Linked DNA regions of Mus musculus. The protein of the gene in region 2 interacts with the protein of the main gene of each other region in a pairwise test. Links are inferred from orthologs where the notes say so. Each region holds a gene or a part of one and is shown on either strand. Other genes may lie near its edges. The genes, in order: Tbc1d22b, Trim27, Eif4e, Josd1, Pus7l, Zbtb16 and Zc2hc1c.

What was found.
Region 1: the proteins of Trim27 (region 2) and Tbc1d22b interact in binary tests that used the Homo sapiens proteins (3 or more experiments, as listed by UniProt). The link is inferred for Mus musculus from reciprocal best matches to the Homo sapiens genes TRIM27 and TBC1D22B.
Region 3: the proteins of Trim27 (region 2) and Eif4e interact in binary tests that used the Homo sapiens proteins (3 or more experiments, as listed by UniProt). The link is inferred for Mus musculus from reciprocal best matches to the Homo sapiens genes TRIM27 and EIF4E.
Region 4: the proteins of Trim27 (region 2) and Josd1 interact in binary tests that used the Homo sapiens proteins (3 or more experiments, as listed by UniProt). The two-hybrid records come from large-scale screens. The link is inferred for Mus musculus from reciprocal best matches to the Homo sapiens genes TRIM27 and JOSD1.
Region 5: the proteins of Trim27 (region 2) and Pus7l interact in binary tests that used the Homo sapiens proteins (3 or more experiments, as listed by UniProt). The two-hybrid records come from large-scale screens. The link is inferred for Mus musculus from reciprocal best matches to the Homo sapiens genes TRIM27 and PUS7L.
Region 6: the proteins of Trim27 (region 2) and Zbtb16 interact in binary tests that used the Homo sapiens proteins (3 or more experiments, as listed by UniProt). The two-hybrid records come from large-scale screens. The link is inferred for Mus musculus from reciprocal best matches to the Homo sapiens genes TRIM27 and ZBTB16.
Region 7: the proteins of Trim27 (region 2) and Zc2hc1c interact in binary tests that used the Homo sapiens proteins (3 or more experiments, as listed by UniProt). The two-hybrid records come from large-scale screens. The link is inferred for Mus musculus from reciprocal best matches to the Homo sapiens genes TRIM27 and ZC2HC1C.

What each region holds. Positions count from the first base shown.
Region 1 is NC_000083.6:29,548,565-29,552,601, reverse strand, and holds the start of Tbc1d22b (TBC1 domain family member 22B), read right to left. Parts: upstream 2,801-4,037; 5' UTR 2,664-2,800; coding exon 2,608-2,663; intron 1-2,607. UniProt on the Homo sapiens protein: May act as a GTPase-activating protein for Rab family protein(s).
Region 2 is NC_000079.6:21,178,710-21,182,730, reverse strand, and holds the start of Trim27 (zinc finger protein RFP), read right to left. Parts: upstream 2,801-4,021; 5' UTR 2,237-2,800; coding exon 1,817-2,236; intron 748-1,816; coding exon 652-747; intron 1-651. UniProt on the Homo sapiens protein: E3 ubiquitin-protein ligase that mediates ubiquitination of various substrates and thereby plays a role in diffent processes including proliferation, innate immunity, apoptosis, immune response or autophagy.
Region 3 is NC_000069.6:138,553,691-138,557,190, forward strand, and holds part of Eif4e (eukaryotic translation initiation factor 4E), read left to right. Parts: coding exon 1-31; intron 32-1,699; coding exon 1,700-1,814; 3' UTR 1,815-3,500. UniProt on the Homo sapiens protein: Acts in the cytoplasm to initiate and regulate protein synthesis and is required in the nucleus for export of a subset of mRNAs from the nucleus to the cytoplasm which promotes processes such as RNA capping, processing and splicing.
Region 4 is NC_000081.6:79,685,073-79,689,300, forward strand, and holds the start of Josd1 (josephin-1), read right to left. Parts: upstream 2,801-4,228; 5' UTR 1,846-2,800; coding exon 1,661-1,845; intron 1-1,660.
Region 5 is NC_000081.6:94,537,008-94,540,507, forward strand, and holds part of Pus7l (pseudouridylate synthase 7 homolog-like protein), read right to left. Parts: coding exon 3,046-3,500; intron 1-3,045. UniProt on the Homo sapiens protein: Pseudouridine synthase that catalyzes pseudouridylation of mRNAs.
Region 6 is NC_000075.6:48,833,426-48,837,540, forward strand, and holds the start of Zbtb16 (zinc finger and BTB domain-containing protein 16), read right to left. Parts: upstream 2,801-4,115; 5' UTR 2,629-2,800; intron 2,517-2,628; exon of another isoform or gene 2,363-2,516; intron 1-2,362. UniProt on the Homo sapiens protein: Acts as a transcriptional repressor. Transcriptional repression may be mediated through recruitment of histone deacetylases to target promoters. May play a role in myeloid maturation and in the development and/or maintenance of other differentiated tissues.
Region 7 is NC_000078.6:85,287,424-85,291,390, reverse strand, and holds the start of Zc2hc1c (zinc finger C2HC domain-containing protein 1C), read right to left. Parts: upstream 2,801-3,967; 5' UTR 2,606-2,800; intron 1,840-2,605; 5' UTR 1,821-1,839; coding exon 510-1,820; intron 1-509. Other genes in the region: Acyp1 (acylphosphatase-1), read left to right, coding at 3,048-3,213.

The DNA.
Region 1 (4,037 bases), on a different chromosome or scaffold from region 2:
AACAAGATCTCTACTTGCTGTCGCTAAAGTCACTCTGTCATGATCAAAGAAACTGAAAGTAACCGGTTACAACTTGGACTTTTCTCACCTTTCAAACTGCAAAGAAGAGAAAAGTAGCTCTCTACATCTCTGAGGACCCAGCACATGCTCGGCCATCTCCACACTCAAAAGAGTTCAGACATCAAAGTTCTGTTCTGGAACCAAAGCACCTTCTATGGGAACCAACACCAGCTTCTCCCCACAGCCCCAAGCTGTCTGGGACTCTCTGCCAAGAGTGTACAGGAGACAACACCGCCCTCACCAGGCAAGGTATGGGTCAGGGTTTATGGATCATGGCAACATTTTTATGCCTCTATAATAAAGGAGACAAATAACTAGCTCTGGGGAGCTGAGACACATCCTTTTAAATGTCTGCTTGCTCTAATAACAAGAGGACAATTAATAATGACTATTTATAGAGCAAGTACAGTGTACTAAATAAACACTGTCCTGGGTTCTTTACAAATAGGGCATTTTGGTTAGCCTTCGGGGAATTCTGAGGGAAGAGTTTTTAGTCCCCACTTCATAGGAAACTGAAGCTTAAATAGATTGTGAGTCCTACAGATCAGAGAATCTGAAGGACGATGTCAATGATGATGACGATGACAATGGTAATGATAATAATAATGATAAATGGTGGTGACCTGGACTCCAAGATTCTTGCCTCTGTGGCTCTATGTTTCAAAATGAAAAAGGAAGCCAGAGATTTGAAGAAACTGAAGAATCCTCCTAGCTAGCAAAAGCAATGCTTTTGGGCCATCAAAAAGGCTCAGCAGATAACGATGCTTGCGGCTAAGCCTGATGACCTGAGTTCAAGCCCTGAGATCCACGGGGTGGAAGCAGAGAACTGACTCCTGTAAATTGTCCTCTGACCTCTACGTGAGCACTGTGGCATACACACACACATACACACACACACACACACACACACACACACACTGATTAAGTAGATGAATAAATATAATTATTTAAAGTGGTACTTTTAAAAAGTTGACTTCCTGTAGGCCAGTAGAAGAAAAAGACAAAAGGCCATTAATACACCACATCTGGCAGTCCAAAGGCACAAAGACCATCCATCGCCCATTGTCCTCACCCCTGCTTCCTGACGTCACCATTTTCCCAATGATCGTTATCTTAGGATATCAAAATGAAATGACCCCTCCAGAGCAAACTCCCAGAGAAGAGCAGTCCACGCAGCTGGAGAGCTCACTCAAGCAGGAAGGAAAAGAAATCTGTGGCAGGAAGCGGAGCTTATCTAAAAACACAGTGTCACTGTTCAATGTGTGAACACCCTAGCCCCACAGCACTTCAACCCAAAGCTAGCTTTGCCTCCCCTGCTATTATATTAGCACACATTGCTAAAACCTGGTCCCTCAACTTTCTCCACGTGTGTAATGACAGCTCAGAAAAGTTACACAGCCAATGCTGACTCTCAGTTTCTCTTTCGCTTGAAGAAGGGGGCGAGGGCTGTGTGTAACTCAGTGGCAGAGTGTCTTCAACAGTGTGAAGAGAGAACGGAAGAGGGGGAGAAAGAGGAGAGGGAGGGGGAGGGGAAGAGAAGGAGGAGAGAGAATGGGAAAGAGGGGAGAGAGAGAGGGAAAGGAGGAAGGGAAGAGTGCGAGGTCACAGGTCAAAGGACTACACCTGAACAAAAAAAGACTTAACAGGAAAATCACTAAGGATAGAACTCATGAGGGCGGTGACCAGACACAAACTCTTAACACCAAGCAGCCTGTGGCTGGCAGAAATCTTAAATTCAGTAGTGAAACACATAGGGCTTTCATTTTTCAGGACATCACCCAAAACAAACGGAACCAGTAAACCAAAAGGCAGCCTGACTGAGAGACAATTGCTCAGTGTCAACATACACTAACAAGAGAAAGAAACACTAAGGGAATAAGTTGCTTGAAAGGTCTGCTCTCCAACAAAACAAGAATAAAAGAACTTAATGCATCCACACTGAAAAATCATCACTTCTCCGGGATGCCAGAAGGAATAACTTATTCTCCACCCTGCGGCCACCCTGTAATAATTTCTCAAAAGAAAGGACCAACTCAAGACAGAGTAAGGTCAGGCTTGAGAATTCCCCCTCCCCTGTCTTGCTCATACCCCTGCAGGCCTGGCCCAGGCTCTCCTATCAGAACCCCTTTGGGAGTCCAAGGGAAGACAGGAATGTGATGATGGGCTGGGAACCAAGGCCATGGGGCCACCAACCCTCATGCAAGCAGCCACCCATGCTGTTGGAGACCCCTAAGGAGTTCTGTAGAAAGTCGGAAGCGGTCTGCAGGTGGCCCTCCACGGCTACGCTGACAATGGCAACTCGCCCAACTCCACTGCCCCTCACACTGGTCCCCTGACACCTCCCAGCTGAGGTTCCCCGCCCCCAGACCCCAGTCTGCACCCCACACCCAAGCTGGCCAGGCTCCTCTGATTGACAGCTGCTCCAGCCTGGGCTACTCCGACACCAGCCCTCCGGCCTCGGGGGTACCCCAAGACGGAGGGATTCAGGGACCAGGATCTGGAAGGCTTTGGGTCCAATCCCCACTCCCCTCAGCGTCCTGGGCTCACCTCCCCGGTAGCTTGGCGCTCCTCTTCCAGAACTGCTTGCTGTTCTCGGCGGCCATCTCTCCGGCCCGGGGGAAGGCCTGGTCGGTGGGTCACGGGGGGGCCCCGCGACAGGCCCCCGGGACCCCGCAATCTGAGGGCCAGCCCAGGCCGCTTCCCCGCCGCCGGTCACCCGCTCCCAGCTCCTGGGGGCGCCATCTTGGATGTGGGCACTCCCCCCGCCCAACACCGTTGCCATTGGTGGGCTGAGCAGGCCGGTGGGCGGATGGACCAATGAGGATCCCGGATCCTGCGGGCCGCTGAAGGCCCGCGGCAACGTCAGGGGCTGGGCACACAGGTGGGCCGGGGAGGCGGGGCTTAGATGGGCAGGAAGGCGGGGCTGAAAGTTCCTACTCCCCGGAGGCAGAGAACCAGGTACTGCGAGGAAGAAGTAGATGGGACTGTTGCCTTTGATGGGCTGAGGTTCTGGGGTTGTCTTGGTGGAGAGGGGTAAGGAGAAACCATAACATTTGTATACATTAGTCTTTAAAGGAAGGCCTCATGTAATAATGAACATTTTTTAATGTCCCTCACCTCAATGGCACCCAGGGTGGTTACCCCCCCACCCCCCCACCCCCGCCTTGTTCCCTTATGGTCCTAGTTTCGCAGAGGACAGTTCCGGCCATACCCCAGTGCGGGTAACTGTTGTATGAGTAGCAGTTGATTTATCAGACTCCCCCTTTCTTCCGCTAACTGAACTTCGTGATGTAATCCCTTCTTCGGGTCTGACTCTTTCTGGTTATGAGGATCCAGATACTGAGAAGTCATGCTTAGGAAATACTAATTTATCCTCCAAGTAGCATTTTCTCTAGGGACGTTGTTCATCCCCATGGCAACAATCAGGAAGATGAAGGATGTACCCCCAATATCCTCAACTCCTTTATTAACTGGCTATAAATCTTCCATCTATAGATTCATTTTTCAATCTAATTTTGACTCAAAATGAGATCTAATTTTAGCATGTTGTCTCCTTTGGGTGTCATGTTAATGACTACCTCTCTTTTTTGAGTGTGTTCTGGGACATTTGGGGGAAGATGGAGGGTACTTCCTTTTTCTACTCCGAAGAAATGTTTGTTCAGACAAGGAACTGTGGATATGTGCGAGCTACTGCTCAATCCATCTCTGTACTAACACCCTAGGGTTTCTAAATATTGAAAAATACATTACATTTATTCAGTGTGTGTGTGTGTGTGAGAGAGAGAGAGAGAGGAGAGAGAGAGAGAGAGAGAGAGAGAGAGAGAGAGAGAGAGAGGTCAAAGGAGAACTTCAGTTTTCTCTTCTCACCGAACTCAGGTCGTCAAGACTGGCTGTAAGCCCCTATACCCATTGAGCCATCTTGCTGGCCCAACATACTGGCAAATTCTCAAGGCTCCTTCTTTTCCCACCTAAAGAAA
Region 2 (4,021 bases):
GTGCTGTGATTCGGCTTGTGTAAACTAACAAAGCAAAACTACTTACTACTGGCTCTTTTCAGAAAGTTTGCTAAAACCTGACCTGAACTCAACTGCTCCAAGAGCCCTCTACTCAGACCTCTTTTAAGCTGGATAAGTCTTTCAAAGTCATAAAGCACACAATATAATCTTAGGTAACATTAAAGCTAAAAATAAATTCATGCAATGTATCCAAAGCAGTGTGACTTACACCCTGGCACAGGTGTTTCTTACTGCAGGCCACTTGGCAGCCTCGTCTCACTTCCACACACTGTCTCTGATTCAACCCAAAACACGTATTTCAAGGGAAGAAGCGGCAGCACTGGCTGCTGGAGATCCACAGGTTTCTTAGGTCTGACCTCTATTCCAACAGAAAGAAATTAAGGCCCGGAAAGCCTGCACCCACTCCACTTAAACTGGCTAGTGTCTGACCCAAGAAGCAGGCCCAGGGTTCGGGATTCCCAGGGGCTAGTTCTCTCTGGACAAACCTCCCAAAGCTGATAGGCTCTGCTTAGAGGCTTCTCACTACACCCCTGCCAAGGCCGAGAACTGTCAGGGATTTTCAGAGCAGTTCAGAAGCTTACTATCCTAATGCAATCAATTCCTCTGCAGGCTGGAGATCTGGACCCTTACCAAAAGCTCAGCTCGGGCCTGCTCCCCCTGTGCCCGCCGTCTCTTCTTCAAGTCTTTCACTCTTCTTAGGTGGTCCAGTCGGTTCTGGATTTGCTCCTGAAGAAAGTAAATAGTCGGCCAGTTCAAGATTTTGCAGATCTCAGCATCAGAATACTCTGCTTTTCACACATGAACCCAAACTACAGATGCCAAGGCCCCGCTGGACTCTCTTCTCAGACCATAATGCCACTCCTGGGAAGAGCCCAAAGCACAGGGGCCAGCAAGTGTGTTAGCAATTTGTTATTTAAACTCTAGCCACCTACCAGTTCCTAGAAGCGGTTACAAGACATCTGGGTAAGGAGGCTCAAAAGGTAAGCTATTTCTCAGATGAATACAGAAAAAAAAAAAAGATTTATTTTCCTCAAAGAATCAGTAAACATTACTAAATTACAACTTATCTCCAGCGAGTGAAATGATACAGGTGACAGCTTTGTAAACGTGACTGACATTTGGATGAACTCACACTTAAACAAATATATAACTCTGTTGGTATAGATCCCTGCAGCCCTCAAGATCATTATCACTTCAGAGCTACTTTATATGTAACGTTTTCGTACTACTGTGTAGCTGTGCCAGTGTTTATTCAACACTCCACAAAGGTCCTGTGAGTTCACTTCCCCTTCACAATAAGCCATCTCCCGAGTCTGAGAGTGGCTAAATGATTTACTTAAGCAGTAAAAAGCTCTGTTCATTTCCATTCAGTTCTAAAACAGGTTTACAGGGAAGTGCTGGGGACACAGATTAAGTGATGGGCACTGCTCGATGTGAATTCAGCCAGCCAACAGTGACTGTCTGGCTTGGTATCCTGGGTCAGAGCGAGTTCGAGGCGTTCAAGGCCTATGGAAGTGTACTTGGCTCCATGTGCATCTCCTTTGTCAAGGGAGGGTCTCCTCGCGCCGTCCCAGTCGCGGCACGCGTAGAGGCGGTTAGCAGGGGCGCTCGGGGTGGGGGTGGGGGTGCTCCTGGCCTCGCCAGCTACAGGTTCTCCTTCCCAGTCTGAGTGCGGAGGCTCCGCAGCCGACAGGGAGGAAATGACGGCGGTGGGCCCCACGTCCGGCTCGCCATTTTCTCGGTATCAAACCAGGAAGCCCCCGGCTCGCCCCTTTGTCCGCCGGCCCGGCCCTACCTTGAAGCCCTCCACCGCCTCCTCCAGGGGCAGCACGCTGTGGCCGCGGTGCTCGCGCGAGCGGTCGCACACCACGCAGATGGGCATCTGGTCCTGCTCGCAGTACAGCTTCAGAGGCTCCCGGTGCTTCTCGCACACGCCCATCTCGCCGCCGGGCCCCGACGGCCGCTCGGTGCGCAGCTGCTTCACCAGCTGGGTCACGTTGGCCAGGTGCCGGTTGGGTCGCATGTGGCGCTGCGGGAAGGTCTCCCGGCACTGCGGACACGACACGTTAGTCTCCGCGGCACCCCAGCAGCGGGCCAGGCACGCGCAACAGATGTTGTGGCCGCAGTCGAGCATCATAGGCTCCACGAAGTACTGAAGGCACACGGGGCAGGTGGTCTCCTGCTGCAGGCACTCGGCCACGCTCCCGGAGGCCATGGCGCGGGCCGGCTGGGCCGCAGGGCATGAGCCCGGAGCCGAGCTCTGTCGGAGCTCAGCGCGCTCGCTCCGCTTCTCGGCTCCGGAGCGGGGCGGGGCCTCCGGCGCGGGGATCGCAGACGCGCGCGGAGCTCTCGGGCGGCCAGACCCGTCCCCGCACAGCTGCTCCTCACCGACAGCACGGGGAGGAGGCCTGGGCCCCGGAGCCCGGCTGAGAGCCGAGCCGAGGGGAGTCGGGAACCGGGCGCCGCGGGCTGGCTCACCGGGCAACGTGGCCGCGTCGGAAGGGGTCCCGCGGCCGCGCAGACTCCTCAGGGCCGAGCGGAAGAGGTGGGCCGGGGGCGGGGCCTGGCTTCCCGCGCCGCTCTGCTCTCTCGGGGCGGGAAAGCGGGTTTCCTCTGCACAGTCCTGGGTCCCCGGCACCCAGCCCGGGAGTCGGTCGTGGCTGTCGCGTGCAGTGGGAGCAGAGTGTCCCCTGGCAGTGGCGTCGGGTCACTCCAAGCGTCTGTGGGCCCGTAGTCTTCTGCTGAGTTTCCTCTTAGTGGCTAGGCCTCGGCTCCTTTAAAAGTAAGATGGCTTTGCATAAATGCCGGAAAGCTGGGCGGGGAGACCAGCTAGGCCCCTCCCAGTGTGACACACCCAGCTCCAGGCGTTAACAATCGCTAGAAAAGGGTTTAATCATCAGCAACTTTTCTCAGGGGCAGAAACGGAGAAGCCCAGTTCTATCTCCACCCTAAAGTAAATCGGTTTATCGTTCCGAGCCTCATTTTCTTCTCGTGTGAAATGGGGACCGATCGAATCCCGACCAGAGTGCTGACCAGACCATGAAGTCCTCCCCCATCTCCCTAGCTCTACCGTTACTAGGGAGCCACCCCACCGAGAGCCCGCTTGTGAGTCCCTAACTTCTTCTCAGGCTCCTCAGGTGCCCAGTGTCTCACTTCCTCAAGTGAGTAGCCAGACCCGACGTGTCAAAGGGCTGCCTGGCGACACACTTCTCTCTCGTCTTCCCTGCCACCTGCTGAGGAACCTACGTGGCTGTGGGTTCCTATGAGACCCTCGAAGAAACAACCCGGATTCTGCCACGTGGGCCTCATTCTCAGAACACTCCCCCACCCCCACCCCCACCCCCACCCCTCACCTCCAGCCTGGGCCCTGCGGCGCTGGGGCCAAAAATTCTGATTGTCCACTGTAGTGTTGTCCTTCTGCCCATGACGTTAATAACTCTTCTAATAAGTTCTTACTCCCAGCAATCTAGTTCAGTGCCCTCCTTGAGCTCCCATACCCTATTGCTTTCAGGAATTTTCCCCATCAAGGAGTTACACCTTTTTAAACAAACAAACAAACAAACAAACAAACCACAGCTTGAGCATAAAGATCTTTATCCGCTAGTTTAAATGAAGCACCCAGTACATCGAATGACATTGAGTAGAACCTAAAACTTGCTTGTTTCTGCCCAATCGAGAGTCCTGTGATGACCGGAGGAGGTCTTGTAGCCTGGTTTCTTATCACAGAATAGGTTTTCAGTTCTGTGCGCTGTCACTTATGCCATGGCCTTTCCTACTCTCCTTTGGGATTGACTCCGTGCCTGCCCTTGTGTTTGAGCAACAGGGAATTTCTGTATCCAGGCCATCACTTCACTGGATTCTGCTTGATTCTTCCCTATGGGACAAGAAATCCGAGGTACTTAACAAGTCTCGCTCATCCAAACCTCCATTCTCCCCACCTGCTCTTTGAAACTCCAGGCTCAAAACAACTCAGCACACTTCCAGTAAATGGTAGAATATT
Region 3 (3,500 bases), on a different chromosome or scaffold from region 2:
GTGAAAACAGAGATGCAGTCACACACATAGGGTACGTTGTGCTCTCCTCCTGCTTCCTTGACCCTTGGTTAATTAAGTGTGTAGATGTCTTTTATGTGCAGCTTTAGACACTTGGTGTTTATAAACTGTTATTTTCTTTGTAAATGTTTTCACAAACAAAAGTTTGGATCCTGTTAATGTTGAATGTGTTTGTCTGTTTTTCATTAATGTAAAATGGTTTTTGCAGCAGTGGTGTGTGCACTGTCTGCAGCAGGTGTATTTCCATAAAAAGTATCATGCCTTAGTTCCTGTCCATATTTAGAGCCCATGTGTTTAGAAGTTTCTCTCTCTTTTTTTTGTTTACAATTCACACACATCAATTTTGTTAGAATTCTCTTTGATTACATGCAAATCAGTAAGAAAAACCAAGCTAGATTCTAAGTGGGATTACAGGGATTCATTCATTGTTAGCTTGTCATTTTTCATCTTGTAGTATAAACATTGACCTGTAGCAATGTTGTATTTAAAAAAAAAAACAGAAATTAATGAATTTGTTATAGAACTTTTTGTGTCAATATTAGATGTTTTGAAATCTTTAAAACATTCTAACCTCAGTTATTCAAGGAAATATTTTTTTTATTGCTTCCAGTTGACACATTTTAACTTCTCATTGCTTTGTGTGTATGTGAATACATTTTTTAATAGTAAAGAGTTTTTTAAAAAACCTGTTATGGTACCATTTCATACTTAAAAAATACCTGTTTGGAAGAACTGTGATTCTGCCGGGGGTAAAGCTCGGTGAAAGTGGGTCTTCCTCATATTGTTTCTGAGAATTAAACATTCAGATTTCTTTCTAAGATTAAAAATTAAGTCCTCTGCTCTTTTCTGAGGTGCTTGTTAGCCTTATTTCATACTCACAACCCAGCCTCACAATTTTCATTTTTTTATAGCACTTGTTTTTTTTTTCAACCTTTAGATGTGCTTCATTCCCTGCAGATTAAATTGTTAATACCTTGACATCCCTCTATCCACCTCTCTACTCATCCACCCATCCATCCACTTGAGGCAGGATCTTTGCATACCTAGCCCTGGCTGTCTCAGAACTCACTAGAGATATCTGCCTCTGCTTCCCAAGTGCTGGGATTAAAGGCGTGTGCCACAATGCCTATTCCCTTTTTTGGTCTTTTAAGGAGAGATTTCTCTAATACTGCAGATAAGCTTTAGACTCTCTGAATTTAGTTGATAGTCATACAGTTAAACCTTGTTTAGTTAGTATACATCACATTTTATTTTTAAAGTAATCACAACTAATTTGAAATTGGTTTGTAAAGTTGGTACATAAAGCAAAATAGAATTCATATGTAAATACAATTTTTACTTTAGTTTTTGAGATAGGCACTTGCTATGTTAACCAAGCAATTGCTGTGAGCCCATGGACTGATCGTGTTTTGCTTGTTACTGATTTAGTAATAATTGTATCTTTTTATTAGTAATAATAAAAACAAACCTGGTGAGATTACAGGTATCTGTAATGTGATTAAAGTCTGGCTGTGAAAGTAAAGACTAATTTTTAATTTTGCTAGTTAATACTGAGAGAAAATTAACACATTTCGACTTGCATTGCTAATGTAAAGACTAATATATGATAGATTTATAAAATACATATGAAGACTTTATCTTTTTTTTTAAAATATTGTTTCTTGTCTCCCATGTCTTGTAGGAGGGTATACAAGGAAAGGTTAGGACTTCCTCCGAAGATAGTGATTGGTTATCAGTCCCACGCAGACACAGCTACAAAGAGCGGCTCCACCACTAAAAATAGGTTTGTTGTTTAAGAAGACACCTTCTGAGTATTCTCACAGGAGACTGCGTCACGCAATCGAGATTGGGAGCTGAACCAAAGCCTCATCAAAGCAGAGTGGACTGCACTGAAGTTGATTCCATCCAAGTGTTGCTAAGATATAAGAGAAGTCTCATTCGCCTTTGTCTTGTACTTCTGTGTTCATTCTCCTCCCCCACCCCCAATTTTTGCTAGTGTGTCCACTATCCCAATCAAAGAATTACAGTATACGTCACCCCAGAACCCGCAGATGTGTTCCTGGCCCGCTCTGTAACAGCCGGTTAGAATTACCATGACACACACATTTGCCTTTCCACAGTATTCGAAAAAGAACTTGCATTTCTATTACCTTAGCAGGAAAGATCTGGTTTTGCTCCACTCCATGCAGGAGCGGACTTTGCTGGTGTGAGAGTCTGAGTACAGCTTTCTAGCAACCTTCTGTTTCCTTTCACAGCATTGTCCTTGCTGTCCTCTTGCTGATGGCTGCTAGATTTAATTTATTTGCTTCCCTCCTTGATAACATTAGTGATTCTGATTTCAGTTTTTCATTTGTTTTGCTTTTGTTTTTTTCCTCGTGTAACATTGGTGAAGGATCCAGGAATATGACAGAAAGGTGGAATAAACATTAAATTTGTGCATTCTTTGGTAATTTTTTTGTTTTTTGTAACTACAAAGCTTTGCTACAAATTTATGCATTTCATTCAAATCAGTGATCTATGTCTGTGTGATCCCTAAACATAATTGTGGACTATAAAAATGTAACACCATAATTACATTCCTAACTAGAATTAGTATGTCTGCCTTTGTATCTCTATGCTGTACTTTAACACTTTGTATTCTTAGGTTATTTTGCTTTGGTTACAATGGCTCAAGTAGAAAAGCGGTCCCATCCATATTAAGACAGTGTACAAAACTGTAAATAAAATGTGTACAGTGAATTGTCTTTTAGACAACTAGATTTGTCCTTTATTTCTCCATCTCTAGAAGGAATCTGTACTTCGTATTGCAAGGCAGTCTCTTGTGTCTTCTTAGAGTGTCTTCCCCATGCACAGCCTCAGTTTGGAGCACTAGTTTATTATGTTTATTACAATTTTTAATAAATTGACTAGGTAGTATCACATGTAATTACACTGATGTGGCTATCTTTTTAATAAAGTTAAGGCACAGTTGCTCAGTCCTAGGTTGAGTGATGGACTTTGACTATGTTACAGTTGATGAGGATTGGGGTTTTGGTGCATCACCATTCGGTAGGAACAGCGGCTAGAAACTGATTGTTGGGTTTAAGATGTTTTTACTTAATGGCCAGAAAATTAGCGTAAGGAAAGTATATAGAGAAACATGCGTTAGGGACATTAGTGTTACTATCTGAATAAAACACAATAAACAAGTATTAAGAACTACTTATATTGGTCAATTGTTGCAGTATGGTTTTCTGTAAACTTGAAACCTTGATCTATTCTTTGTATCATTTAAAGCAAACATGAAGACATTTTGTCTGCAGTACGTAATTGTATAGTTCAGATCCTGTGAGATGAGGTGTGGCTGTTAACGCCGAAGGGTAAGCTGAACTGTGGGTAGCAGAGTGGAAACCATTGGCTGAGAGAAAAATGCTCTTTAAGTGGTGGTTGTTATGAATTCACACTGATAACTTGATAAAGATCCTTATAAAATACATACGGAA
Region 4 (4,228 bases), on a different chromosome or scaffold from region 2:
GAAACAATAGTGCCTACCTCCCAAGCTGGGTGTGAGGACTCTGCGGCTGCACAGGGAGTCCTCAGAATGGAGCAGAGAGTTGGTTTGTTAGTGTCTCATTAACTCCCTTGTCAGTCCAGGAGCCAAACTCACAGAGGTCAGAACCTGTCAACCTGACCGTGACTAACTACATACAATCTGACATTAATTTACTGGTGGGTAAAACTAGGCAAACGACAGCAACTCTGTCTGGGCTTCCCAGGCCATGGCTAAGGTTGCTCTAAGTACCAAGTAGCAGCGAGCACACTCAGGTGCCCATGGCCAGTCATTTCCTTCTCCCTGGTTAGAGATGAGAAAACAATTCAGAGCTACCCAGAAGAACATTAACAGCTGGCCAAAGGGAAGTCGTTCAGAAGTAGCCTGGGCTCTCCTTTCTGTCACATGACTGGGTGGTGGAAGACACCTTTTCTTACCCCCAGAGCTTCGTCTTCTGAGGACTGAGCTGTACTTACAGAGAGCAAGTGGCACATCGGCCCTGCTGCCCTCTGATCTTTCACTGGCACTAGAAAGTAATTACTCTCACTGTAGTTCTGTAAGAGCACTCAGGATACAGCTCTTCTCAGAGACTCCTGTAGTTCTTTCAAGTTAAGTGGTCCACACTTAGGCATACCAATCACCCCAAACATCCTAGCTGTACCGCATGTTCCTGTGCAGCTCCAAATGAGGACCTCAGTGTATACCACTTACAGCATCCTTGAGCTCTCTCTGTCCTGAGGTCTTTTCCAGTTGGAGGGGTAAGACAGGCTCACTGTCAAAGCTGCTATGAACTTCTGTCATGTTGCTGGGTCCAGTCAGACACTATAGAACTAACTCTCAAGGCCCTTCAGAAAGCAAAGCAACGGGCATAAAACTGTACCCTGGACCACTTGTAGAGTGGCATATTTGTTCTACAGTCTTTTAGGGACACACTTTTAGGGACTGCACTTAGGACCCCCTACGTAATGTGCAAGCATTCTTATCACTGAACTTCACACCAGCCCCACTAAAGTTATCACACAGCAGGAGAGAGCTGGAGTCTGCTCTAATCGCAGCGTAGCTGGTTCAGAAGCTACTCTGAACAAATTACTTGACCTTTCTATTCATTTCTCTATCAGTAAAACGAACTGTGAGGAAGTCACACAGAACAAATGAAGGACACACCATGGGCAGGCAGCACATGGCCCCAGAACAGCTAAGCATTGTGGGTATACTTTTCTTGAGATTTCCACCATGTCCCACCTTTGGTAACAGATGGCTGAATGTGGATGTATTTTGTATCCCTCCTAGATTGTAAACTCCTTGGTGGCAGGTCTGTTAGGGAGGCAATAGAGCAGTGACCACCAGTGGAGATAGGACCCACTGAGCCCTGTCTTCATCACAAATGGGAATAACACATGCCACACGGAGTCCTCTGTCTGACTCCAGCCGTGGAGACAGCACAACTGAGGTTAGTCCACCACAGATGGACCATAGATGGTGACTACCTGCCTGCCATTTCTGTGTGCCTCATTCCTGCCCCCAGCATCTAAATTCCAAACCTGTAGGTTTGAAGGTTTCTGTCCCCGAGACACTGCACCACCCACACAAACTCAGAAATACCAAGAAGTGGGGGGGATCGAGATGCCAAGCAGGGGAGTCCTACCTCTGGAAAATCTCCTGCAGCGTTTCCCGCGTGAAGGCGTTGCTGTCCTGGAAGACGTTGTTGAGAGCATGAAGAGCACAGAGCTCCCTGCGCTGCTTCTCATGGTAGATTTGTGGGGGCGCTGCTTGGGGAAGGTCCGAGGATTCAGCTTTGGCCTTGTCTCCTTTCCATGGCACGCAACTCATGTTTTTCGATTTAGGTTCCAGGCAGAGCCGCTAAACACTCCGCTCCTTCCCTCCTGAGGAAAGTCTAGGTTTCTGTCTTCGGATTCCTGAGATTCACCTATTTATTCTCTGGTGTTCATGATTTATGCTTTGTCACTGGGAGGAAAGGTTGGAATCAAAAGGGACAAAAAAAAAAATCTACCTTTTTCTGTCTTCTCGATAGGAAAAAATAACTTTTGGATTAGTTTATTTAGCCAACACTTTCAAAGTGTAGAATTAACAAAGAAAAAAAAAACATATAAAACGTAGGATTCCTCCCTTTGGCTGCCGCCTTCCCCTCCCACCCCCTTTGGAAAAAAAGAAACACCACGCTTTCCTGGCCGTGTTTTCCTCTCTGCAGATGCCAACTAGGCCTCAATGCAGGAGGGCAGAACCGAAGGGGTCACATCGCTCCTTTTCTTCCATTTCGTCCGAATCACAACACCACAGGCTCCGAAGACCGGGTTGGGTGGCGGAGAAAAGGCCCAATGCCAAGAGCTAGCGAGGATCGGAGGGCGTGAGGTCGCGGGCCGCGCGGGGGCTCCGGGGATAGCGCTCCATGACCGCCAGCGGACTGGCGGACTCGGCCCAGCGGAGGAGCCGCTTCGCCTCGGCGCGGGAGGAGCCGCGGAAAGGGGAACGGCAGCCCGGGCGCCGCCGCGGGGAGGTCCCGCCTGGCCCGCGAGGGTGCGGCCGGACGCCTTGCCTCGCCCGGTGCAGCCTTGGCCCACCGGGCTGACCGTCCCCGCAGCGACCTCCTGCTGTCACGTGAGGCCAGTCCCGGGCTCCTTCCCGCTGCCTGCCCGGCGGGGACTGTTCGTCTCCCCGACGCCGCCACCTGGAGCTTGCGGGCCGCCACCTGGCCCACGCGCGGACAAGCAGGCGGCGGAGCGGGCGGGCACGCGCACCTGAGCCCGACGTCAGCGGCGTTCACTCCGCGCGCGCCCCAGACACGCCCCCGCGCTGACCCCGCCTGCCAACCTCGCGTCACCCCTGACGTTGTGTGACGTAGCCAACGCGGGCTGTTGGTCCGGTGGAGGTGCTTAGAGGTCGCGGAGCCGTTGTGCAGGGTTGTGGAGCTCCGCGGTAGCGGGGGAGGTCGACTTGTCGCTTCGCCGCAGCTCCGCCCCGGCGCCCACTCCCGCCTGGACGCCGCAGGGCCCTCCTCCCGGCAGAGTGCTTTCTTGAGCCCGGGCAGCGGCTGCCCTGGCCCACTTATGTTCATCAGATTTCCTAACACTTTACCGACGCGGTCGGGCGTAATCTTGGTTGGTGAACCCGACCGCCTCCAGTTTTCTTTGAGAGCTGAGGGCAAGACTCTCGCCGGGAGTCATATTTCAAATGGAAACCTGAGTTCTATTTCAGATCCTTGGTGTCGTATTCCAGTTCACTTCACACAAACCACTGCCCTTTTGATCAGCAACCTTCTCTTGATGGCTGTCACAAGCCTTCCTTTCTGTGTTTTCTTTTCCCTTCTGATCCTTCTTTTTAGACGTGTGTGTGTGTGCGCGTGTGTGTTCTCTAGTTCAGCTGGTCTCAAACTCATTACGTAACCAAGAATGTCCAATTTGTTCAGGGCAAGGGATCGAACCTTGGTAAATGCAAGACAAGCACTCTACCAACTAGAGCTCCGTATTTTGAGTTTAGCTGAGTACATTGTGTCCAAAGGCAGACTATTTACAGTTTCCCATGGGTTTAAATTAAGTCACTGTTTCTAACTTGCCTTCCTATCGGATTTTTGTTAGGGAAAACAACAGATTTGCACTTTCAAAGTAATGGTTTCTCTAATCCTCATGATCACCCCAATCAACAGTATTGTGCAACACATCTGAGAGATTACCACATGATAGGGCATCCTCTACCTAGACTACTTTTGAATTATCTTTTTGTGTGTGTGTGTGTGTAATGTGTAAACTACCAAACTGTTACAGTGTATTTACATAGGATTTATCTCCTAGGGACTTGCTGTTCAACCAGAATTATTGTAAACATCTATTAATTAACTGATGAGTAATTAATTATTGTTAAGCAAATTAGACTTTTTTTTTCTTTTTCAGGGAGAAAAATACAGCCCAAAGAAGTCGATCAAGTTGTTTGAAATCATTATGTCTATAGTGAATTAAGGGTTTGAGCTTGGACCAAATTGTTTTCAGAAAGAGAATGTAAAGATGATTAGGAATTACCTCTCAACTGTTACTTTTTATATTTATTCTCCAAAACATTCAATTCGAAAAGCAAGTATTCAGAATATATATCCTTTCTAGGCAAAGTCCTATAGTGAGAAGGACAGTCTTTCCCCCCAGCCAGATAGCAATGTATTCTGAAACTGAACTTTTTCTGGCCATACAATGCTAAATAGCAATCG
Region 5 (3,500 bases), on a different chromosome or scaffold from region 2:
GCCACCGAAACTTAGAGGAGGTTGTTGCAGTCCATTTTCACTCATATATCCTACATTCCAACACACAAGACTCCTGATTGGTTGCATTTCTGTTCAATCTTCCGAATACAATAAAAGCAGTTCTGCCTCAGGTTCCAAGTGCTTATATGAACAGATCAATAATCGTTAATACAAAGCAGAATGGTGGTTTCTGGGAACTGAAAGGAAGGCGTGATTATTCAATTGACGCTGACGTCAGAATAGGAAGGTGCTAAGATTCAGGAGATGAATGGGGACAGTTGGTCCATGACAATGGTGGGCTGGAGAGACCGATCAGCCATTAAGGCTAGGCTCTCAACCAAAACCCTCAGGAATGGATAAAATGGTAAATTTTACATAAAATATATTTTAAATGTTTAAATGTAAACATTTAAAGCAGCGGTTCTCAACCTTCCTAATGCTGTGAGCTATAAGCACAGTTCTCATGTTGTGGTGAGCCGGACCCGGTAAGATTCTTTTCATTGCTACTTTATAACTGCAATTTTGCTATAGTTATGAGTCATGATGTAAATATATTTGGAGAGAGAGGTTAGTCAGAGTGGTCCTAAGCCACAGGTTGAGACTCCCTGAGTTAAAGGATAGTAAAGTTATTACATAAATACATAGATAGGTGTATGAACACATGAAGGCAGAGATATTTTTATACGTGATATTTTGATTCTTATAAAAGGTCACCTAAGCAAAATTGCTCATTTTGCATTCATACACCGATATCATCATATTGGCCTCTTGGTGAACCATTAATTCTAACTTCAGGAAAACTAACTAATGCATAAAAAGATTCTTAGATCTTGACTCATTAACCTAAATCACTGGCACTGTTTCCAGTAGTATAAAAAGTTAGAAGCCCTAGGAGGAGACGTAAGGATCTCCCTGGGAAGGGAAATAGACTAGATTCCAAGGAGGGAGGCTGGGGACTGGTGGGGGTGGGAACAGAAGAATCAGGTGTGTGTTGGAGAGGGGGATACTGGGAGAAATGACTGGAACTGGGGAGACAAGGTGGAAACAGTACAATGGAAAGTTCATAGACTCTATGAGGGTGACCCTAGCAAAAACTTCTAGTAATAAGAGCCTGAACCCGCTATCTTCTGCAAGGCCTCAAATGGAGGGACCAGGACACCAACCCAGCCACACAACCTTTGACCTACAGTTTGTCCTGTCTGCAGAGTGTTCGAGGACCGAGCAAGCGGAACCATCACAGTGACCATAGAGACTTCATCTCGCAACTGATGGGACCAGATGCAGAGCCCCCACAGCCAAACATTAGGTGGAGCTTGGGAGTCGTGTGGAGGAGTGGGAGGAAGGATTGGAGGAAGCAGAGGGGTCAGGGTCACACACCGTGAGACCCCAGTCCACAGAATGAACTGATTGCTACTCAAAGGGACTCGCAGAGATCAGGTAGACTATAGGGGTCCGACCGACCTAGGTCCACTGGGTGTGTGTTACGGTGGGGTAGCTTGGTGTTCTTACAGGAATGCTAACAGTGGGAGCGTGACTGTCCCTGACTCTTTGGCCTGCTTGTGGACCCTGATCCTCCTACTGGCTTGCCTTGTCCATCCTTGATGTGCCTAGTCTTACTGCAGCTTATTATGCCTTGTTTGGAAGATGTCTCTGGGAGGCCTGCTCTTTTCTGAGAGGGGTAGATCTAGAAAAGAAGGGGGGTGGTTAGAGACTAGGGGGAAAGAAAGGAGGGGAAACTTCAGTCATATGTAATATATGACAGAGAAATAAATAAGCCTTAGAGCTACTTAAATCATGCAATCCCTTCCTATAAATCCGCAATTCTTCCTATACATCAGCAAATCACTTTAAATCGGCAATTCTCTTCCTATACGTAAACCTACCTTTACTTTTCCTTCAAAATAGATTAACTCGTTCATAGTATCGTTTTTTTCCCACGCTCACCTTTGTGGATGCTGAGCTTTAAGCATATGAAAGATTTCCCGTGTCCAAAGTGTTTAACGATGCCTTACGAAGCTGGTGTCGGAGATCAGCCTCAGCTAAGTGAGGTCATGTCTCAAGAAGAGAAGCAACAGCTAGGGGTGCAGCTCGGGGTTAGAAGGCTTGCCTTGCATGCACCAGGTCTTTAATTCGGCCCTGACCTGTCACCTGTGTCTGAGTGAACTGCTGCTATGCAAAACCAAGCCCACAGCACTTCAAATTCGAAGGGCTCGCTCACACCAGAATCCTGTGAGGCACGGTTCTTTCCCTGTGCCGTTTGCATGTGTGCCTACTGTTGAATGTCTGCTAGATGAATTTATAAGACATGCTCACTGGAAACACTTTCTATCCCTCAAGTACCATATAGTGACCAATGAACCCCAGACCTGTCCTCTGACATTTCATCGGATCCATTCAGCCTTTGAGAGACCTTATAGCCCTTAAAGCAGGAATTCTCAAGATACATTCTCCATGCCAGATCGGCAGGAAATGCTGCCTGGGGGAAACTGAGGAACTTCCACTCTAAGCCTTCTGAATCTGAAACTGAAACAGAACTCAGAAAACAATACGGCAGAGGGGTTACAATACTTGCTGAAGTGTGAGCACCCCTGCCTGATAAGACAAGTGTGTGTGTGTGTGTGTGTGTGTGTGTGTGTGTGAGAGAGAGAGAGAGAGAGAGAGAGAGAGAGAGAGAGAGAGAGAGAGAGAGACGGGGAGCATCTTGCACTTTAGAGTCTCTCTTCCCTTTCTAAGCATGGCAATAGAGCCGTCTCACCTCCAAATGCTTAATCATGGTTGACATTATTCTGAAAACAGGAAAATCATTACTCTCAAAACTGCTCGAGCACAAAACAATCGCGTCAGCTTTCCACACCCGTGACTGTTCGGTATAGATGCCGTTTTATGAAATTCGTTTTCACACTGACCATACAAGGCAAGGCTTCATCTTTCCCCCAATCAGTCAGTCCATATAGTCTTTACACTAGCTCTATGACCAGGTCCCGTTATTCAAATGATCCACCGTTCACAAATTTTACACAAGGAAAGGATGAGTTACTAAGTTACCTGTGTACACAGCTTTTCCTCTCTCGCAGCCTTCCGGGTGAGATCTCTTCCCGCGTGCTTTTTCCCGGAATCTTACAGTTATGGCTGAGTCTGGGTTCCCAGCACTGTGGTGCTGCCCGGGAAAAGATTTGGTTTCCACCAGGTTTCCGAACTTCTTGTTGAGAAAATGGTGCACAGCCTTCCTGTGATCCTTGTTCGGATCCGGCTTAAAGGTAAACTTGGAATTTTCTTTCTTTGCGTCCAAATATTTGAAAAAGCCAAGAGCCTCCTCTTCCGACACCAGACGGCAGAGTTCTTTACACTCACGGTTTGGTTTTACAACAACTTCACCCTGGTTTCCTACGGTGATCAAAAAAGGAAAGGCCTGCCTCACAGCACTGTGCAGAACAGCTCTGCGGTTTTTGTCAAGGATCTTGCCTAGGGACAATTCAGGAGATGGCTCAGTTAATTCAGTT
Region 6 (4,115 bases), on a different chromosome or scaffold from region 2:
AGGCCAGTGTCCACCATGAGGCTCACAAACTTACTTAAAAGTAAGAAGCATTCGGCTTTCCTGTCCACCCCTATGGGCAAGCCCTCATCTTCAATGTTTTTCTAGTTCTGGCTCACTGAGACGGCCTTAGGAGACAACCAGATCTAGCCAGGGCTGTTAAACATGATGGTGGTCCCAGATCTGCTGGCCATGAAGCTGTCTTCTCCTAGTCATCCTAGACATGACTCCTCTCCATCATCCAGTGGTTTCTATGGCCTCTGTCCTTGCACGCTTAAGTCAGGGCTGCACAGGATTGGCAGACCCATACTTAGGCTGTGACAAACACACCACACCGCACCCTCCCCCTCACACCCATCACATCACATTCTACCTTAACTCATTTTTAACTACAAGTTCTTTAAAGCTGCTGTATGTGTCCAAGGTGTGTGTGTGTGTGTGTGTGCGCGCGCGTGTGTGCGCGCGCACGTGTGCACAGGTGTGCACACGCGTGAATGTACACCTACATGCAATTATACAAGATGCTACAGCCTCCTCTTTTACCCACAGCCCACAAGCCCCCCAATGGACAGAATGCTCTAAAATGAGAAAGTGGGTAACACCATAGGAGAGTATGTTCCCAACAGCCTTGAGAGTGCACACCAGACTGGATGCCTCCCAGGTGTTGGCAAGCCCAGCGACAAAGAGAAAAACTGACATTGAATATGGTTCTCTAAGTGACATTGGCACCAGCATCTCTGGGGTGAATTAAGCCCAAAAGAAGGGAAGACAGGGCTGGAACACAAAGGCCTCTCCCAGAAAGTGTTCTGGATGACTGAGAGGCTCCCAACTTTGAACAGCCATTGGGACATAGGCAGAAAGACCTAACGGGATAAGGTCCCAACCTCTGTCTCTCTGTAGCCAACATTTCCCACAGCCTGGGGAAGAGGGTGGAGAGAGCTAGGCTCTCAGCCACTCTTCGCAGAGCTTGCCTTCACCCTCGACAGGAGTCTTAAAGACTCTTAGGTGCAAAACTCATGCGGAAAGAGTTAACAATAGTGGCTGGCCACTCTTATTGCCCACCCTAAAGTGGAAACGGAGGGCATCATCAAGAACGGTGAGATATCCATTCCTCAAAAGCTTCATGAGCACGGTGTGCTTTCGGGAGAGAGATCAGAGATTTGGAGAACTAAGGGGGAGAAGCCAAAATAAAGAAGGTTCGCTGCTCAAAGGAACCTTTTGGGCCTTGAGGGAAATCAAGGTGCCCTATCCCTAACCGGCGGCTCCGCACCCGCGATCCGACCGTCCCTAGGTGCAGCGATCAGCCGATTCTGGGCAAAGCCAGCGCTAACCCGCCAGAGCTCCGAGGATCGATGGTGCAACACACCCCTTGTTCCCAGAGACCCCCGCCGAGACTTGCATAGGACTTTGGCAAACTTGGGAAAGCAACTTTTCCCCAGGAGTCAGGTGCCTGGAAGAAAGGGAACAGAACTAAGAAAGGGGGAAAGCGAAAGAGCCTGGGGAAAGGAGAAGGTCCGAGCGGGCTGGACGCCGCTGCTAGGCCGGCCCGGCAGCGCAACCCCCCCAGGGGAGAAAAGGATGCACAAAAGCCTGGAGGCGAGTGGTGGGAGGCCAAATGAGAAGAGATCTCTGGGTCCTCCACCTTCCACCCAAGATCACGATCCCCGGGAAGTCACCAGCAGGGTCCCCGGCCTCCCGCACCAGCTGCCGGCGTGCCCGAGTCAAACACGCTGGGAGCGTGGCGGGGAGGAGGCGAGCTGGTTGCAGCGGTGCGCTCCTGTGCATTCCGGTGGGGTCCGCAGGCTGGCAGGATCGTGCGCATTTCGAGCGCGTGCGGGAGCGTGCGAGGGGCTGGGCAAGCTTGCAGCGCGCCAGGGTGGGAAAGACATCCCGAATGCATCAGGTGCAGAGCCGGGAACCCACCGTGCGCGGCCGGGAGCGCACAGCGAGCTCCCGCTCCACCGGCCGTTCCCACCGAGAGCCGAGGAGGACTCGGAGCGCCAGAGTCTCTCCGAAGCGTCCCTCTCTCCTTAAAAGAGGGCATCAAGTCCAATCAAAAAAAGAAGAAAAAAATCCCACCACGTTTTCTCTAAAGAAAACAAAACCCGATCGGATACCAGTCCCCTCCCACCCGACCCCCAGGTTCACTCCTTGCTTCCTCCGGGTCTAGCTCCCCAGCTCGCCAGCGAATAAACACAAATAAATAAGACACAATCCTATCTCACGCCAAGCGCACCGGTCCGCATACATATGAGCACCCACAGGCTCTCTGCTCCTCCGCCAGCCCTTGCCTGTACAAAGACACCCAGTCCCCGACTACACGCGCCCGCAGCCCTGGCAGACCTCCCGGCCTGCCACCTCTCACCCGGACCGGACCGTGCCCGGAGAAGAAAGGTTGGTGAGGCAGCTGTGCCCAAGCTGACAGCCTCAGCGCCGCTTTCTAGCTGACCCCCAACGGGCACTGGCGATCGCTGCTGCAGCAGCAACCAGAGAACCCCGCACGAGCCCAGCGGCCGAGTGGCCAAAGCTAGCACCACCCGCCTAAACCTCTCCCGCCCCAGGGCGCCCTGGCGGGAGGCGGTCGCTGGGCGGTGCGAGTCCTTCCCGGGTTTCCTACACACATACACTTACCGCTTACGGAGCCTGGAGCTTGGGGTGGGTGTGCGTGCCTGGGGGGTTAGGGGTGTGCCTGGATCGGGGAAGGGGTGTTGCTGGGGAACTGTTGCTCCGGATCTCACGGCGGCAGCGGCGGCATCGCCCGGCAGTTCGCAGTACCCGCTCTCGTCACCCTTAACTCCTCTCTGCCGCTAGGTTAGCAAATCACCACCGGCTGCGGCGCCTCCGCCGCGTCCCACGTCAACGCCGAGCCCCCTCCCCTGCGAGGCCCCGGCGCCTCTCCATCTTTAGTGCTGGCGGCCGAGCCCGGCTCCCTGCCCACAGCTGCCCCCTCCCCTCCCCCTGGCCGGTCCTGGCCCGCCCACCCCGCCCCACCCCCGCCCTGGCAGAGCCCGTGCGCTCTCCCAGCCCTGCCCTCCCTTCCCGGGCGCTCCCCTCCCTTCCCAGCGCTCGGCGCTCCGGGCTTCTCCTGACATCTAGCTGCTGCCCCGGCGGCAGCGGCTGCTGCTCGTTGGCTAGGTGGAGAGGGCAAAAGGTTGCAAAGGAAGAGGAGCCGCAGAGGACCTGGCAGTCCCCAAGGGGTCAGAAGGATGAGTGGGAGAAGCGGTTCCCACTTTAGCCCCAGGTTTTTTCATTTCCACTGGGCATGCGGTGTATCCCGCGCCCCTAACTCCCCCAACTCCAGTACTCAAGAGCGCAGTTTTGTCCCGTTTTTTATTATTTGCACCAGTTCAGTGTGTGGCTTCTAGCTTTTCACTTTTTCTCAGGATTCGGATCGCATCCTCCCTTACCCTAGCTTTAAATGGGTCGTTTCCCAAGTCCCAAACCAGGCCTCTGATGCCTGACCACAGGAGTTCGCCGGATTTGGCCAGATAAATCTAAAGGGGCCAGTAGAAATCTGGTAGGAGGCAGCACCTCGATTTTGCTATCTAGATTGTTGCACACTGAGATGCGAAGGCCTGAGTAGTAATACTTTCTCACTCCTAATCTCGGGCATCCTCCCCGCCCGCACGCCCCCCCCCATCTTCCCCGGCCCCAGGAACCTGGATGGAAAGTTCTGAAGATTCTGCGCCTAACTCAGCTCTGCCTTCAGGAGCTACTGGAAGCTTGGAAGAGCGCTGGGCCGCTCCAGAGTACTTTCTTCCCTCAGCGGCTGGACCATTTTAAAGGGCGTACTTGAGATGACAAACCGTAGGGTAGAAAGACCAAAGGAAAAAAAATATTCCTTCTACCCGCGGAAAGCACCGTCTCCTCCTTTGCACACGAAGCTAGGCAGGGAATTGAGGTTGGAGGGTTCTTTTCTGAGCACTGGCCTCCGGCCAAAGCCCCAGCGCAGTGTTATTGGGGGTGTGGTGGAGAGCGCCACCCAGGGGTCTCAGAAAAGTCACCCACACAGCCCCACCCTCCAGTCCTAAGGTATTAGTTCCAGGCTTCAGTTTAGGGGTGCTGTGTTCTTGGCTTACCGCGGATCTCCCACAGGACCCACAGAATCGTATCTTGAT
Region 7 (3,967 bases), on a different chromosome or scaffold from region 2:
TTTCCTGCAGCAAACACGAATTCATTTTTATAATAATCAAAAGGACATACATTTTGAAGTCTGGATTTTGGGGTCAATTAAAGTTAAGATTTATCTATTCATAAAGGTGTTAGGATAGTAACTAGCAAGAGCTATTGATTAGCAATTGACTGTAGATCTACTACCCATGGGTCTCTGAGGACATCACTGAAAGATAAGAATCTACTTAAACTGTCCAATGTGTGTGCAAGCATGTGCACGAGCGTGCAGACACGTATCCGTTTAGGGGAAGCCTAGGCCTTGGTTTTTGAATGAATGTAATGACATTCCCACGGACACAATAAGATTCTTACCCTCACAGAACTGTGAGGCTCCTACACAAAGCTCTGACTAGAGAGACTAGGCAAACAGAAATCCTGATTCTCCCCTCCGTCCTACACTACCCCAGTTCCCACAAGCAAACCAGTGAGGGCGTAGCAGGCCATTCCACGCACCCCTGCACAGAGTCAAATCTAGGAGGCTTTTATTACCTTGGCTGTGGCTGGTCCCCTCCAGTTCAAGTACTGCTCTAGTTCTGTGCCCTTCGCCCGGGCCCTGGAAGAGTCAAACACTTTTCTTTTGGACCCTTGCATCTTGCCACAGACGGTGGAGTGTCTCTGCAGCCTGAGGGAAAGAAACGATCGTCCACAGTGGCTGCACTTGGCCAGCTCTGGCTCTTCTGTGGAGGAGCTGGACCCAGAGGAGCCTGGTGTCCCGGACCGACTTGACTCCTGCAGTGTACTGCCCAGCTCCTCTGCCGGTTGAAAGAACGCGTCTGCTGAGGGTCCTGCGTCTTGATCTCGGATTTTACTGTTACTGGCCATCAGTCTTTCCCTTTTGAGCTTTTGGAGTTCATAATCAGAGAGCTGGCGTGGACTAGGGTTTTCCTGAGCCTGATCACAAGTTTGATCCTCTCCCCTGTTTCTACTGAATACCTCAGACCTGAACTCTGGGGACAAGCAGGGTTTGTGTGGGGTGTCATGGTCACCATCTCGAACCCTCCTTCTAGGTAGTACCATCCTTTGTAGCTCTCTGTCTTCCTGGAAAATGGCCTGTTTCTTTTCCTTCTGCATCCTTCGAAGACCCTCCTCTGTCTTCTTCAGCTTTTCTTGTAGGAGAATCTCCTTTCTGCGGATCTCCTTCTGTAAACTCTCCCCTGCAGCTTCGAGCCTTTGGATCTGGGTCCACTCGGTCCTATGGAGCTCCGCCACGACCTTCTCTGCCTGCACAGAGGCAAGAAGAGATGAATTCACCCAGCTCCTTAAACCAAAGCTGTTGTCTGAAAACTCACTTGAGTCAGGGAGTCTTGGGTAGCCATTCTGGTCCCCGTCTGCGCCCGCATCACTTGTACTATGTGACTTCCGGTGGACCATGGGTTTCAGTGGGTAAGCCCGATCCACTCCCACTCGTTTCCTCCTAAAGGGAATGAAGTCCTGGTCATTTGCTTTGGGATACCGGGGTGTCGGACTAGACAAGTAAAACAGACCCTTTCCTTGGCCCTGGGCATTGTTCCCTGAGCCTTGCTGCCTGATTCCTGCACTGTGGGGACAGGAGTGCCTCCGGGCTTTTGTGCAGACGTTCCTTTTGGGGCGGGTGGAGACCTCGTCCTCCTGCTCCATTTCTGTGTTGCTCCAAAGCTTCGACTGGAAACTATTCCTCAAATGTCCCATCGAGGGCCGCTGGGAAGAGTCACTTTGTTCGTAAGGGTCGTGCTTAGCTGAGTGGAGTCCAGGAGCTTCTGTTTTATTATGTGGGAACATAACGCCCACAGGCAGATGTGGAGCCAACTGGAGACCAGCCATTCAGTGCCTGGACCGAAGCCTAGGGGAGATTTAAAGCAGATACATGTGAAGAATTTGTCTGAGGTTCACTCCCGGCTGCTAGAGTAAACTGTTTGTCCATTTGCCCTACCCACATTCCCTTTAAACGTTTCTCGGGACTGTGGTGTTGGCTCTGCCAGGACATTCTTTCAATAAGCATTTAGGGAGTGATGGTTATGTGCCAGGCCAGACATTGCTAAGCCCCGAGGACCAAAGAATGGACGTGACACAGGTGTTCTGCCACTGACTTTCCTCCAGGCCTGTAGATGACCTGCTCTACACCATTTATGGAATGGGTGGGAAAAGCTTTAGATAGAAGGTCGTCCGTGACACAAAACAGGCAACCTGCTCTTACCAGCCCCGGGTTCTTGTAAATTGCAGAGGCCGCTCTGAGTCCAGTCCCACGGTTTTACGGGGTGAGAACAGTGGCCTGGCGACAGGGCCTGGCCCAAAGCACTCCCTGGACTTTCCCCTTGCTACAAACTACAAAGAGCACGAGCCACCCGGGCCTGAAGCAGGTGCCCGGCTGTCAAGCCCTCATGCAAAGATGCTCTATGGCTCAAACCGCACCAGGCTTGTAAAGAGAGTGTGTTGGGAGAGGGGGTGACAGACACCTGAGCGCCCCAGCCCGCTTTGGATCCGGAACTCCAGAGTCATGTTCTGTCCCAGAGGGTCAAACGGGAGTCCTTACTGGGACCCGGCCTCTAGGGATAAACTCTCACTCTCCAACCCCTCGGGAGGTCTCAGTATCTCCCCTTTCGGCGTACCTGAGGCGCTCGGGGGCCGCTCCAGCTCAGGGAAAATCCCCAAGACCTAGTTTTCCACACCTGACTAAACCCAACCGCCGTCCACGCAGGCGCTCTCTGTCCACCTCTGTTATCCCGTTGCCTGGAGACCAGAGCACCGCCTCTGGTTGAGAACTTTTAGCTCCAGATGTGCGCAGGCGCAGTCCACAAGCAATCCGAAAGCCGCCGGGGCAGATTGGGTTGGAGGGACGGAGGGAGGTGGTGGAGGGAGTGCGGGGAGGTGGGGAGGGAGGTGGGGAGGGAGGTGGGGAGGGGAGGAGGGAAGGGAGGTGGAGTACGGGTGCAGTCGGGTCACTTGTCGAGGTGCAGCCAACTCCGCAGCTCAGATCAGCGTTTCCCTTGGGGAGGGGTTGGAGAGGTTTTTCTGGGGCTACATCAAAGAAGAACTTGGATTTCTCCGAGAATGAAGCTCCCAGACCTTAGGGTGTGCCCTTGTCTGGAGAAGGGTGGAGCCCCTAGATGGGCTGCGGAATCATCCCGCCCCAGGATTCGGGAGTCTGTCCAGCTAGCGGGAGTGGGACTGCTGATCACCCTTCTGAGTGCGCTCGGCTACTGCGCTCAGGCCCCAGGTAGGGCTATGTAAGAGCTCCAGGCTACATGCTCCGGGCTGTCTTCCCTCGCAATGCTTTGGCGCTTGCTATTATATTAGCTTTACTATTATTTCACTACGTGTTATAGTCCCAGGGTAGTTTCTATGGCCAATCTAATCATTTTGCTATTATAACGTTTCACTCTCACGTGACCGTTACTACTTAGGGCCCAGGAATGACTCAGCCAAAAGTAACAATAATAAAGTTAACAACCAGATCAACAGTAATGAACATAACTTGATTTCAACATTAAATGGTCCTCTGTAACTTTTTGACAACAGAAGAGAGTTTATTTGTCTTCTTCGTGCTTCAGTTCATTTGGATAAGCTGTTTTGGAACAGATAGCTCCGTTTTTCTTGTAACTACACAGAAGATTCGAGCACGTGGGAAATAAAGTAGACAGCAGTCTCGTTAATACAACAGATCAGATGTCAGCTTTTATGCGCTACAAAAAAAAATTCCTTGGTGGACTCTCTAGGGCAGATTGTCAGTCATTCTTTTCATTCCCAGTTGGCTCTTCGGCCTTCTCCACATTGCAGAGGTTTCCCACGGACTAGGACCCTGCCTCAGTCAGCTTCTATGGGTTTTCCCATACATCTTTTCTAACTCGTTTCCATACTCTCCCCCTGAATCTCTAGTGTTCAAGTATACATAACTTCCTTGTGCAAGAAAAGTTCCCCTTCCCATCCCTGGGTCTGTCTCTCTCTGTGTTAGGATCCCACTGGAGTCTCTT